3 linked regions of the Mus musculus genome follow. The protein of the gene in region 3 purifies or fractionates together with the protein of the main gene of each other region. This does not show direct contact. Links are inferred from orthologs where the notes say so. Each region holds a gene or a part of one and is shown on either strand. Other genes may lie near its edges. The genes, in order: Casp8, Birc2 and Tradd.

What was found.
Region 1: the proteins of Tradd (region 3) and Casp8 purify together in Homo sapiens (affinity purification with western blotting; 6 studies listed by BioGRID and IntAct, with this or other methods). This does not show direct contact. The link is inferred for Mus musculus from reciprocal best matches to the Homo sapiens genes TRADD and CASP8.
Region 2: the proteins of Tradd (region 3) and Birc2 purify together in Homo sapiens (affinity purification with western blotting; 3 studies listed by BioGRID and IntAct, with this or other methods). This does not show direct contact. The link is inferred for Mus musculus from reciprocal best matches to the Homo sapiens genes TRADD and BIRC2.

Annotation. Positions count from the first base shown.
Region 1 is NC_000067.6:58,794,010-58,798,304, reverse strand, and holds the start of Casp8 (caspase-8), read right to left. Parts: upstream 2,932-4,295; 5' UTR 2,567-2,931; intron 1-2,566. UniProt on the Homo sapiens protein: Thiol protease that plays a key role in programmed cell death by acting as a molecular switch for apoptosis, necroptosis and pyroptosis, and is required to prevent tissue damage during embryonic development and adulthood.
Region 2 is NC_000075.6:7,830,434-7,834,078, forward strand, and holds part of Birc2 (baculoviral IAP repeat-containing protein 2), read right to left. Parts: coding exon 3,072-3,645; intron 1-3,071. UniProt on the Homo sapiens protein: Multi-functional protein which regulates not only caspases and apoptosis, but also modulates inflammatory signaling and immunity, mitogenic kinase signaling, and cell proliferation, as well as cell invasion and metastasis.
Region 3 is NC_000074.6:105,261,720-105,265,976, forward strand, and holds the start of Tradd (tumor necrosis factor receptor type 1-associated DEATH domain protein), read right to left. Parts: upstream 2,876-4,257; 5' UTR 2,842-2,875; intron 1-2,841. UniProt on the Homo sapiens protein: Adapter molecule for TNFRSF1A/TNFR1 that specifically associates with the cytoplasmic domain of activated TNFRSF1A/TNFR1 mediating its interaction with FADD.

The sequences.
Region 1 (4,295 bases), on a different chromosome or scaffold from region 3:
ATTTTATTAACTAGCAAAAATAGGCCCCAGAAGTGTTTCACCTCTGATGGGCCTAGAGTCCTGCCTGGGCTTTGAGGGTTTGCTGACTTCCACAGCTAAGTCTTACTGTTACACAGGGATGTTCTCCTTGCTCCTAGTTCGATAGTTTCTACTTACAGCTAAAACAGAACAAAACAAAACAAAACAAACAAACAAACAAACAAAAAAACAAAAAAAACCAACCAACCAACCAACCAAACAAACAAACAAACAAAAAATAAGCCTAAAGTCAAAATCAGGGCTTTCCTACAGCAAACTCCCCAAAGAGGCAAACCCTGGGTCCTTCATTGTGTGAGCAAACCTGTGTACAAACACATAAGCTCCTTGCTGGGAATTAGTTAAAATATTTTCTGGTGTTAAAGAGAAGAAAAAGAAAAGGACTTTGAAACTGTGTTTTCTGCTACCTAAAATAGAATGTAAACTTTCAGAGTAAAGAGCGCCAACTTCACAGCTGAGGGAACTGAATGAGGCGCCCAAAAGCATATGTCCACCCTCGATGTCTGGGCAAAGGTGACACCATCGTACCAGGACCTTTAGCTGGCATTTGATTCTGCCCAGGAACCTGGGCACCATGGAAGCAGCAAAATCAAATCCTGTCTGTGGCCCAGTCCACTCCAGGAGTTACTATAGTTTTCCCAGCATCCTCTATAACCTCTACCCCAGTTCTGGCTCACTGTTTTCTGAGAATTTCCTGTCAGAGACCACGAACTTCCTGTGAGTGCAGCAACTGAAGCTCTCATGGTAATACTTGAACCACATAACAACAGCCTGAAAATCATCAATGAGAAGATACTGTGTAAAGAGGCAATGAACCTCTGTACAGGGGCAATGGGGGTGTGGTCTTGCTGGAAAAAACACATGGAGCTCCCCTATAGGCACTAAGCCCATGAGAGCATAGGATGACACATCACATGGGTCAGTAAATCCGAGGAATGTCAAATAAAGCAAGAAGATGCCCACTTTCTTATTAGAATTTCTTTTAAGTTGGAAGATTAAAAAAAAAGAAAGAAAGAAAAGAAAAGAAAAAGAAAAAAGAGCAACCTGATAGGGTGAGGTGGTCAGGCTATGCAGGCTGCTGGAGAAATCATATTAGTTCCTGGAGTGAACCTACCCACAAACAGAAATTACTGGGCAAAATCAAATAACAGCTAAATGGCCTGCTATGGGGTCACCTTTCTCCCTCCTGGGAAAGAGACATGGGAGACACACAGCCATGACCAGCAACTCCTCTGTGTCCACATACGAGTTCTTGAGTCTTCTTTAAATAGGTTTGTAAGAAACGGGAGCACTAATCGTCCTCATGCTAATTCAATCAATGCCATATTTATTTAAAAAAAGAAAGATTTGTCGATGAGACAACTCAGGAGTTTAAGAGCACTCAATGCTCTTGCAGACCACCTGGGTTCAGTTTCCAGCACCCATATAATGGCTGAAACTGTCTGTAAATCCAGTTCAAGGAATCTGTGCCGCCACCCCCCCCCCCCCCGCCCAGTACCAGGTGCACATACATACATGCAGGCAAAATACTCATACTCATGAAATTAAAATAGAAATAAATAATTTTTTAAAGAATGAAACTGAGACCTAGCCAAGCAGAAGGCACTTAGAGGACTCCCTTTAAAAAGACAAAAAAGAAAAAGAAAAAAAAGAAAGAAAAAAGAAAAGAAAAGAAAAGAAAAGAAAAGAAAAGAAAGGAAGGAAGGAAGGAAAGAAAGAAAGAGAAAGAAAGAGAGAGAGAGAGAGAGAGAGAGAGAGAGAGAGAAAGAAAGAAAGAAAGAAAGAAAGAAAGAAAGAAAGAAAGAAAGAAAGAAAGAAAGAAAGAAAGAAGAAACAGAAATATGACTGTATGATAATTCCTTACAGGTACTTAACAAGCCAGTCACCCTTACAACTGCTTAGCACGTAGAGGAATTACCGGCCTCAGGTCACCTGTAGCCCCCTCCCTCCCTCCTCTCTCATCCCCTCTCTGTGGGGGTTGGGGTGAGGGGGTGGGGGGTTGGTGTTTTAAGTGCAGAGCTAGTGCCCTACGACCCCCCACCCCCTGTACTGCCAGCACTCAGGAGGTGGAAGCAAGGTCGTAAGTTCAAGAAGCCTGAGCTTCTGCAGGAAATCATGAAACCAAAGAGGGACAGAGGGAGGGAGGGAGAGAGGAAGAGGAGAGGGAGGGAGAGGAGAAGGCAAAGAGAAGAAGAGGGAGAGAAAAAGGGAGGGGAGATGTTGGAGGAGAAGGAGAAAGGAAGAGAGAATTTGGGATTAGAGTTGATGGACGTCTGAGTTGGGAAGAGCACGAAAATCGCCGGAGGAAACGCAGCTCAAGCTAGAGGACTCCCCGGAGGATTAACTCAGCTCCAGGTCCTGAGCCAAACTACAAAGAAAGTAAGCCTAAGAAGTCCAATAAAGTTTTCTGGAGAGGCGGCGACGGCACCCCGATGGCTGCATTTCGGGGAGCGCCACGCGAGATCGACACCCACCGGTGGGATCTCGGCCCGCTGGTGGGAAAGGAACCCGACTGCTCTGCAGCACTCACCTGTGGCCGAGTACCTGCCGCGCCGGTCACAACTCCAGCTCGGGCGAGGCCTCCGCTGGCTTGGGCTTTCCGAGCCTCCAGCCCGGGCCGGCGCTCCCCAGAACTGTACTCACTTCCTGTTCCACGCCGGCTCACAGAGGTTTGCTACCGATTCCGAGAAGCTGGACTTTTAAGCACCGAAGTCAGAATGAAAGACAACTGAGAGAACTAGGGCATAGGGGACAGAAATGCCTCCGAATGTTTAGAGGCGTTTGAGTTAATCATTAGAGGTGGCATCCTGGTGCCAGCCCTAGAGGCCATAGGCTGCTTCGCTTTCTGCCCGCCTTAAGAGCTCCCGCCAGTTCTGGAGGACACTTCCTTATTCCCCCAGTCCAACCACACCTCCTTTCACGCAGAAACCCTCTGCTCTAGAAATGTCAGCACTCTCGGAGGTAGGGACAGGAAGATTAGAACAAGCAAGTTCCAGGCTATCCCAGAGACAGTGGAACCAGAGCTAATGGAATGAACGAACGAACACACACACACACACACACACACACACACACACACACACACACAAAGTTTAAAGGAGCCAACTACAAGAAGAAAGTGATTTCACACTGAACCAAACAACCAGCTATGCTGAGGGCCTAGGTCAGATCCATCAGGATCGCTGATTGTTGGTTCAGTCTCTGTGAGTGCCTATGAGGCCAGGTTAGTTGATTCTGTGAGTTTTCTTGTGGTGCCCTTGAGCTCTGATTCCTACAATCCTTCCTCCCCATATCCTGTAGGATTCCCCAAGCTCTGCCTATTGTGTGGCTGTAGGCCTCTCTGATGGCGACTATGTTAGATTTCTGTCTACAAGTATGGCAGAATATGATTAGAAAACATTTCATGCTTTTTTTTTTTTTTTTTTTTTTTTTTGGTCATGTTCAGTTCTATCTTAGCTGTCTGGGGCATCCAGCCTCTTGTTCCTGACCTCCATGAATTCAGTGTCAGAGGTGGCCTCCCTCTTGTGGCACAAGTCTCAAGAGAGACTAGTAATTGGATGGAGACTCCCACAAGTTCTGTGCCATCTTTTCTCCAGCACATCCTGCAGGCAGGATAAATGGTAGGTCAGAGGTTTGGGGTCTGAGTTGGTGTCCCAGTCTCTCCACTGGAAGGCTTGCCTGGCTACAGCAGACAGCTCCAAACCCCTCATTACTAGGAGTCATAGCAAGGGTCACCCTGATAGGTTTCTAGCCCCCACATTCCAGTCTTCTCTGCCATACTCTCTCCCTCCATCCTCGCCCAACCTGATCCCTCTGCTCCCATCCCCACATGCCCCCAGTTCCAATCCCATGATACCTACTCTATTTCTCCCTCCTAGGGAGATGGCTCCTTGTTACTTAGCCTCTCTGGGTCTGTGGATTGTAGCATGATTATCTTGTAATTTATAGCTAATGTCTGCTTATAAGTGAGTACGTACCATGCTTGTCTTTCTGGGTCTGAGTTACCCCACTCAGGATAGGTTTTTGTTTTTGTTTTTGTTTTCTGGTTCCATCCATTTGCTGGCAAATTTCATGATGTTAGGGGTTGTTTGTTTGGTTGTTTTGTCTTGTTTTTTTAACTCTGAATAATTCTCCATTGTGTAAATATACCACATTTTCTTTATCTCTTCTTTGTTTAGTGTATCTGGTTTTATGTTGAGGTTCTTGATACACTTGGACTAGAGTTTTGTGCAGTCAGGGTGGTAGATATAGATCTATAT
Region 2 (3,645 bases), on a different chromosome or scaffold from region 3:
AATCTAAGAAGCAGAGTTAGAAGAAACTTAAAAAACATAACAATAAAGGAACAAAATAATTTTCCAAGATCCAACTCAAAAGAAGAAAGAGAAAGGTAGATATTGCCAGATAAGCAATTAATACTCATCTTCAGGGAGCTTGGTGAGTTTCAAGAGAACAAAACACATAATGTAAGCTTATAAAGAAAGAATACAATAAGCACCTCTCAAAAGCATAAGAAAGTAAAAAATTTACAGGTGAAGACAAATACATAATCACCTTCAGACTACTGCAGACAATAACAGTCAAACACTGGGCCCAGATTCAGTCTTAGTACTACCCCAGTACAGAGCTGAAAGTAACTGTAGCTGTAACTATAGTTGCAATTGTTCTATAAAGACAGTATGCAGCTATAGTTATCATATGAAAAAGAAACAATGGATGTAACTTTAAAAGATACATTAAAGCCATGAACTGTTGGAAAGGACAGAGACAGAGTTTTTGTATACAAATGAAATTAAGTTACTAGTTTACAAAACAGACTACTTTAAGATCTGATTGAAGCAATTCTTCAACTGAGGTCCCCTCTTCCCAAGTGACCCCCAGTTTGTGTCAAGTTAACAAAAACTAAACCAGCAAAATAATAAAGACATAGTACAGTAAGTCCTGACTACTGTACACTTGCTCCTTCTCCACTCTTCCTTCCCAACAGATTATAATCCTTGGCACCTAAAATATTACTTAGAAGGTACCTAAATATTTGATAAATAAGTGAACTGTATATACTAAAATCTAGTGATCATCTGTTACAGTTTGTCTTTATTGAGATCAAAGATAGTTACAGCTAAAACCTGTTCAGAGCTGCACTGACACAAAACATTGGTTCCCTTAGTTAACTATTTAAAACTGTGAGGAATTTTGTTTTACAAAGTATAACAATTTAAATAAAATTTAAAATGTTTTTTTTTATTTTAGATACAACAGTTAAACTTCAAATTATAACATACAAGGCCAATTAAATGATTTCATCATTTAAAACTGACATTTCAATCCAAACTGTAGACATTAGCAACTGTAAGTTTTCCCCAGGGTACCAATGTCTGAGACATTTTAGTCTGAGAATTCTTGGATGCTACAAGGCAGACTGGAGGCAACATGCTTTCCTATATTGTTGTTTTTTTTCCCAACAATGAAGACTAAATTCATACTAGCACAATATTATGGAGAACATGTTGGTTTGTTTTCCAAACACGTTCTTAAAAACCAAACTCCAAGTGATTCTGAAACGACTTGCCAAATTTGTTGCATTAACAGAAGGCTTAAACTCTATGGGCTTTCAAGATAGCTCAGCATGGTCTCTTGTGAGGCTATGCCAGTGCCTGGCAAATACAGAAGTGGATGCTCACAGTCAGCTATTGGATGGAACACAGGGCACCCAATGGAGGAGCTAGAGAAAAGTACCCAAGGAGCTGAAGGGGTCTGCAACCCTATAGGTGGAACAACAGTATGAACTAACCAGTACCCCCTGGAGCTCGTGTCTCTAGCTGCATATGTAACAGAAGATGGCCTAGTCGGCCATCACTGGGAAGAGAGGCCCCTTGGACTTGCAAACTTTATATGCCCCAGGAAAGGGGAACGCCAGGGCCAAGAAGTGGGGGTGAGTGGGTAGGGGAGCAGGGCAGGGGGAGGGGGGTATAGGGGATTTTCTGGATAGCATTTGAAATGTAAATGAAGAAAATATCTAAAAAAAAAAAAAAAAAAAAAAAAGATAGCTCAGCATGTAAAAGTTCCTGCCACAATCCTAATGACCTGCATTCCATCCCCAAACTCACACAGTGGAAGGAGAGCTGTTCTTTGACCTCCACTACTGATTGGTCTGGGGTTCACAATGAGGCCCAAGCTATCGTTGACCTTGGAACACTCCTGCTTCAGCCTCCAAACTGCTAAAATTAAAGAGTAAACCACCACAACTGGCCAAAATTAACACTTTTAAGTAAATTAAGTACATCAGTTTTCAGGACAAAAACAACAACAAAGTCAAAATTTATCTCTTTGTTTTGTTTTTTTGAGACAGTTCTAAGTAACCCAGGGTAGTTTCAAAGTGGTGTCAGAATCCTGAATGTTAACATTACACTGGACCTAACATACAAATTTGATGATTCTTCATGATAATTGTTTTTGAGACAGGGTCTCACTATGCAATCCTAGATGACCTGAACTTGCTCTGTAGACCAGGCTGGTCTCTGTTCACAAAGAATGCATGCTTCTGCTCCCAGCGGTGAGATTAAAGGCAAACTGACATAGGTGCACTACCTGTCCCATCATATAATTTTAAACTACTTATATTTTAACAATGTAAATAGTTACATCAAAATTCCTGTTCATCATGTACCATACAAAAAATGACTAAAAGTTCCTGTAATTCCCTAAGGAGTCCAATGATTCCTCATTATCACAGAAGGCATGCATATGTCCAAGATCTCTTTACTGTATGATTCCACTTACATGTGTTGTGGCTATGGTAACTAAAGTAGATTCAGATATCGTAGGCAGAAGGGTAGGTGCCAGGGGTGTGCTTACAAGTGTATGGGATACAGTTTCAGTCTGGAGATGACTAAAAAACAGTACACATATACTTTATACTACAGAAGATTAAATTTTAGATGGCTAAATTAGTATATTTTATGTGTATTTTAACACAATAAAAACAACTAACACCGTCCATTCATTTTAGAAATGAATCCAAGTTCACATAGCTGATCAGTTTCAAATACAAAATTTCTAATTGTAATACACTAACAATGTGTTCCTAAATTTATTCTAAACAATAAAAATTAAGAGGTAAGGTATATAGGCAAGAAAACTTGTCAACCAGATATGAGGCCCTGGGTTCAATCCTCCATGCCACAATAAACATTTTTAAGAACCAATTATCAAGGCTGGCAGTGGTGGTACAGACCCTTAATCCTAGCACTCAGGAGGAAGAAGCAGGTAGATCTCTGAGTTCAGACTTGTCTACAGAGTGAGTTCCAGGACAGCCAAGGCTACTCCAAGAAACCCAGACTTGAAAACAAACAAAAGAACCAATTACCTTGGAAACCATTTGGCGTGTTCTATCCAGGGGTCATCTCCAGGTTCCCAACATCTCAAGCCACCATCACAACAAAAGCACTTGACATCATCATTGCGATCCACGTAATAGAATCCAGCACTTGCAAGCTGCTCGGGCTGAACAGGAACACTAGGTGGCCAGTACAGAAATGTCCTCAATCGAGCAGAGTGTGTCTGCATACTTAGATTTGATATACTAAACCTCTGTGTTTCTGAAGTATTTTCCAGAAATGGACAGTGGGGAAAATGTCTGCGGTGCTCTGACATAGCATCATCCTTTGGTTCCCAGTTGCTCAGTTTCCCACCACAGGCAAAACAGGCCACCCTGTCTCCAGGCCCTATGTAATAGAAGCCAGCTCTGGCCAGCTCTGCTGGTGACAGAAAACTTAAAGGCCACATACTGTAAGTAAGAAATCTGGCCTCTTCTGTACTCATGGCATAGCTGCAGGGATCCATCCTTGATGAGAAGTCTTCCACTGCTCTAGAATTAAGAGGGCTAGAGCACAGGTTGGAGTGAATGCCACCTCGTTCCAGAGGTGACGAATGTGCAAATC
Region 3 (4,257 bases):
TTTTTGTGGGGGAGGGGGTGTCAAGACAGGGTTTCTCTGTGTACTAGGCCCTGACTGGTCTGGATTCCCTTTACAGGAAGCTGGCCTCTGACTCACAGCGGTCTATCTGCAAGTGCTGCCACGCCCGCCTGAGGACAGGACATGCACTCACGGATCCAGCTATCTCGGACCATCCTTGACTGCTCAGTTATGCGCGCTAAGTCATCCTGCTTTGTGATTGGGCCCGTGTTCTCTTTGGCTATTCCTAAACAAATTCCCTAACTTTCCACATGAGACATGAGGGCCCCTCAACGCCAGGATCACTTCCATCCATCTCCTGTTAAAATCTTGCTTCCAAACCTCTAATAGAGAGTCAAGGTTAAGAAGAAAGCACCTGGGCAGGGCATAGCATAGACCTGGTGGAGGGAAATGATGAACTGTCCATGGCCCTATCTAGGTCTAAGCATGGGGACACGGGGTTTTTGTATGTTTTTGGTTGGTTGGTTTGTTGGGGTGTTTGTTTTCTGAGACAAGGTACCCCTGGCTGCCCTGGATCTCATTCTGTAGACCAGGCTATCCTCAGACTCAAGAGATCCACTGCCTCTTTCTCCCAAGTGCTGGGATTAAAGGCGTGCATCAACACTGCCCAGCTAAGGAACATAGATTTTTGAAACTCCTCTTCCATCAGAAAATTTAATACTAATATACATATATTTACTAAAACAGTCTGAAAATTATTGTCTATCTCTGGGCAGGTTGGGATGGTTTTAATTTTCTTTGTATTAAGCAATATCTCCTACTTTATATATAAGAGACATGTTTCTTATTCGGGAGGCAGAGGCAGGTGGATTTCTAAGTTCGAGGCCAGCCTGGTCTACAGAGTGAGTTCCAGGACAGCCAAAGCTACACAGAGAAACCCTGTCTCAAATAACAAGAATGAAAGAAAGAAAGAGAGAGAGAGAGAGAGAGAGAGAGAGAGAGAGAGAGAGAGAGAGAGAAAGGAAGGAAGGAAGGAAGGAAGGAAGGAAGGAAAGAAAGAAAGAAAGAAAGAAAGAAAGAAAGAAAGAAAGAAAGAAAGAGTCGCTGGGCGGTGGTGGCACACACCTTCTTTAATCCCAGCACTTGGGAGGCAGAGGAAGGTGGGTTTCTGAGTTTGAGGCTAGCCTGGTCTACAGAGTGAGTTCCAGGACAGCCAGGGCTACACAGACAAACCCTGTCTCAAAAAGGAAAAAAAAAAAAAGCAGAGGAGGTGGATTGTAAATGAAATATTCCTTTAATCCCAGTATTCGGGAGGCAGAGGCAGTCAAATCTCTGAGTTTGAGGGGGCAGCCTGGTCTACAGAGTAAGATCCTGGCTCAAAAAGCCAAAAAAGAAAAGGAGAGAACTTGAGGTGATGGCATCCTATCTGTAACCTCAGCCCTCAGGAACCAAGAGCAAGAACACCAGGAAGTTCTACAGGGCAGGGCTCCAGTGACTTCCGTACTTGGGATTGAACCCTGAGCCAGGTGTACGGTAGTTCTCAGCCACTGAGCCCCACCCCAGCCCATAAATGTCTTTAGTAAAAAGTAAGGCAAAAACATCACGATGTAACTCTTCAGCTACCGAGGTATAAAACAAGCAAGGACGTCTAAGAAGTAGCTCGTGATTCATGAAACATCTAGTTCACTTTCCTACCCTTCTATCCCATGGATGTGATCCCATCCCAAGGGGTAGGAGAAGATTTGGAACTGTACTGGTGTGTGTCGGGGTACTATCCACCAGGCCTGTCAGCACAAGTGCGGTAGAGCTGGAGATGGCAGAGTAATCGATATGTAAATTCACTAGTACTGGGCAAATAGGGGAAATAGCCGCCTTGGAGTTCGCGGAGTTGGAGAAGTGAGGTTAATAGAACAGACAAGATGGAGGGAACTGGTTTCTCACTGTCCCCTTAGGAATCCTTCCCTCAGCAGATAAGAGCACTGACTGCTCTTCAGAGGTCCTGAATTCTCAGCATCCACATGATGGCTCACGACCATTTGTAATGGGAACCGATGCCCTCTTCTGGTGCATCTGAATCTCGTGTGTGTGTGTGTGTGTGTGTGTGTGTGTGTGTGTGTGTGTGTGTGTGTGTCTTTTAAAAAAAAAAATTCGTTTCCAAACCGAGTGGTGGTGGTGCACCCCTTTAATCCCAGCACTCAGGAAGCAGAGACAGGCAGATCTCTGTGAGTTCGAGGCCAGCCTGGCACTACAGAGTGCGTTCCAGGACAGCCAGGGGTACACAGAGAAACCCCGTCTCGGAAAACCAAAATGAAAAAAGAATCCTTCTCAGGCCTCCTTCCACCAGGAGGCTTCTACGCTGGGTTCCAGAACAAATGACTCTACCCAGATGTCCGGTCTCATTAACAAATAACAGTCCCCAGGTAGCCCCACTTCTGGCTAGGTGGAAGGGCTTGGCTCCCAACTCAAAGAAAGTTTGAGATTCCCAGACCATCAGAACACGCCCCCTGCTCGGGTGCGCAGTAAGCGACCTGGCCTAGGAAGGTTCCCAGTCTGCCCACTACCCCACCTTCAAACTGGGGGTTCGCGCACGACTGGGCTCAGACAGGAAGAGGGTTCTCAGAACCGTTCCCGGCCAGCCCTGCAGCCATATCCCCTCCTCCGCAGGGCCCTGACACCCACCAGAAACCCTTAGTTGGGACAAAAAACCAGAGAAGGTGGAGGTCCGAAGTCCCTCGTACCTCCCACCAAAACAGTCCGACCGGCCGCTGCCACTAACTGGCCAGCAATCGCGTGTCACCACCGCGCGGTGCTCGCCCTCGGGAAGCCAGATCTCTCGCTTTGCTGGGGCTGCACCGAGGGAGCCCACCCACCCTCCGCACTAACCTGGCCGCCGCACACTCGCCTGGCTCTGCTGCGCGCGGCTTCCGGGTGTGCGCGGAGACGCAGGGGCGGTGCCCTAGCAGAGTCGCCGGGTCCGCCCGCGCGTCCCGCCTTCTCCGCCCAGGGCCTCTCCTTCCTGCCCTAGCTGTCCTCCGTGGCCAGTCCCCTGTCTCCGGGTAAAGCCCACCTAGTCCGCTGAGCAGGTAAGATAACGGACACCCAAGTTTAGATGGCAGGACGAACTGCCCACTGGACATAGCAGTTTGGGGGTTTTGAAGCCGAAAGGGCTTCAGAGTGAGAGCCGCCAAATTTAAGTTAGTTCCTGGGGTTCAATCAGAGGGCATCTCCTGGAGATGAGAATTTTTTCTGGCGCCCCCTAGGAAATCTGGTTTGATGATCTAATCTCTGCTAGTCTTTAACACAGAAAATGGGGTGCTGTGGTTCCAGGACAAGCCTAGCTTGGAGTATCCGGGAACTCTAGTGTATACTTGAGGTAAATTCCACGAGAGACCATACACCTGGAAGACATGGGGAAATGAAACGGCAAGTGTGAACCTTTACAAAAACCTTACAGCACTTTGAAGCAAAACTGGCAGCTTCAGAGAAAACGCAGATTCCGATCCCACCCCTCTCGTAAAAGCCAAGCTCTGGGGTGTGTCTGCAGGGTTCCACCCGAGTCTTTATTAGCTAGCAGGAACCAAGGCTCCGCGAGGGTCAGGGTCCTAACTTGAACAACAGCTCCTCAAGGGTGCCAGAGCGGTCCGGCCCCAGACAGAGCCACAAGCTTTTTACCACAGGTCTGTCACAGAAAGCATGCAGGAAGTCAGTCCGTTACTAGGGGGTGGAGGCAGTGTAAAGGTGACTCCCCTTCTGGGACGCCCATCACTTCCTGATTGGCCTGTGATTTCAGACAAAAAGAAACAAACAAAAAATATTCTCTAAGACTGGTGCCTGATTAGCCCCAACAGTCAGTTTCTAGTGGACAGGATTCCTCAACTTGAAACCTATTTCTCATTTGTTCAACACACGAGAAAGTAGTTTGAAGAGCCAGTGAGGGCCAGGCTTGGTGACACACACCTTTAGTCATAGCTTTCCCAGGCAGAGGCAGGAGGATCTCTGTGAGTTCAAGGCCAGCCTGGTCTACATAGGGAGTTCCAGGCCAGCCAAGGCTAGACAGTGAGACCCTATTTTTTAAAAAAGAAAGAAAAACCAAACCACTGAGGCAGGAGTATTCTCAAGTTCAATACCAGCCAGGGCCACACAGCAGAGATGAGAAAAGAGAAAAAAAAGAGAGGGTAGATAGGAAAGTGTGTGTGTGTGTGTGTGTGCGTGTGTGTATGTATGTGTGTGTGTGTAGGCACAACCACTGGAACTATACCTTTAAGCCTTTAGGGAGATTTACTATTCTGAGCAGAGACT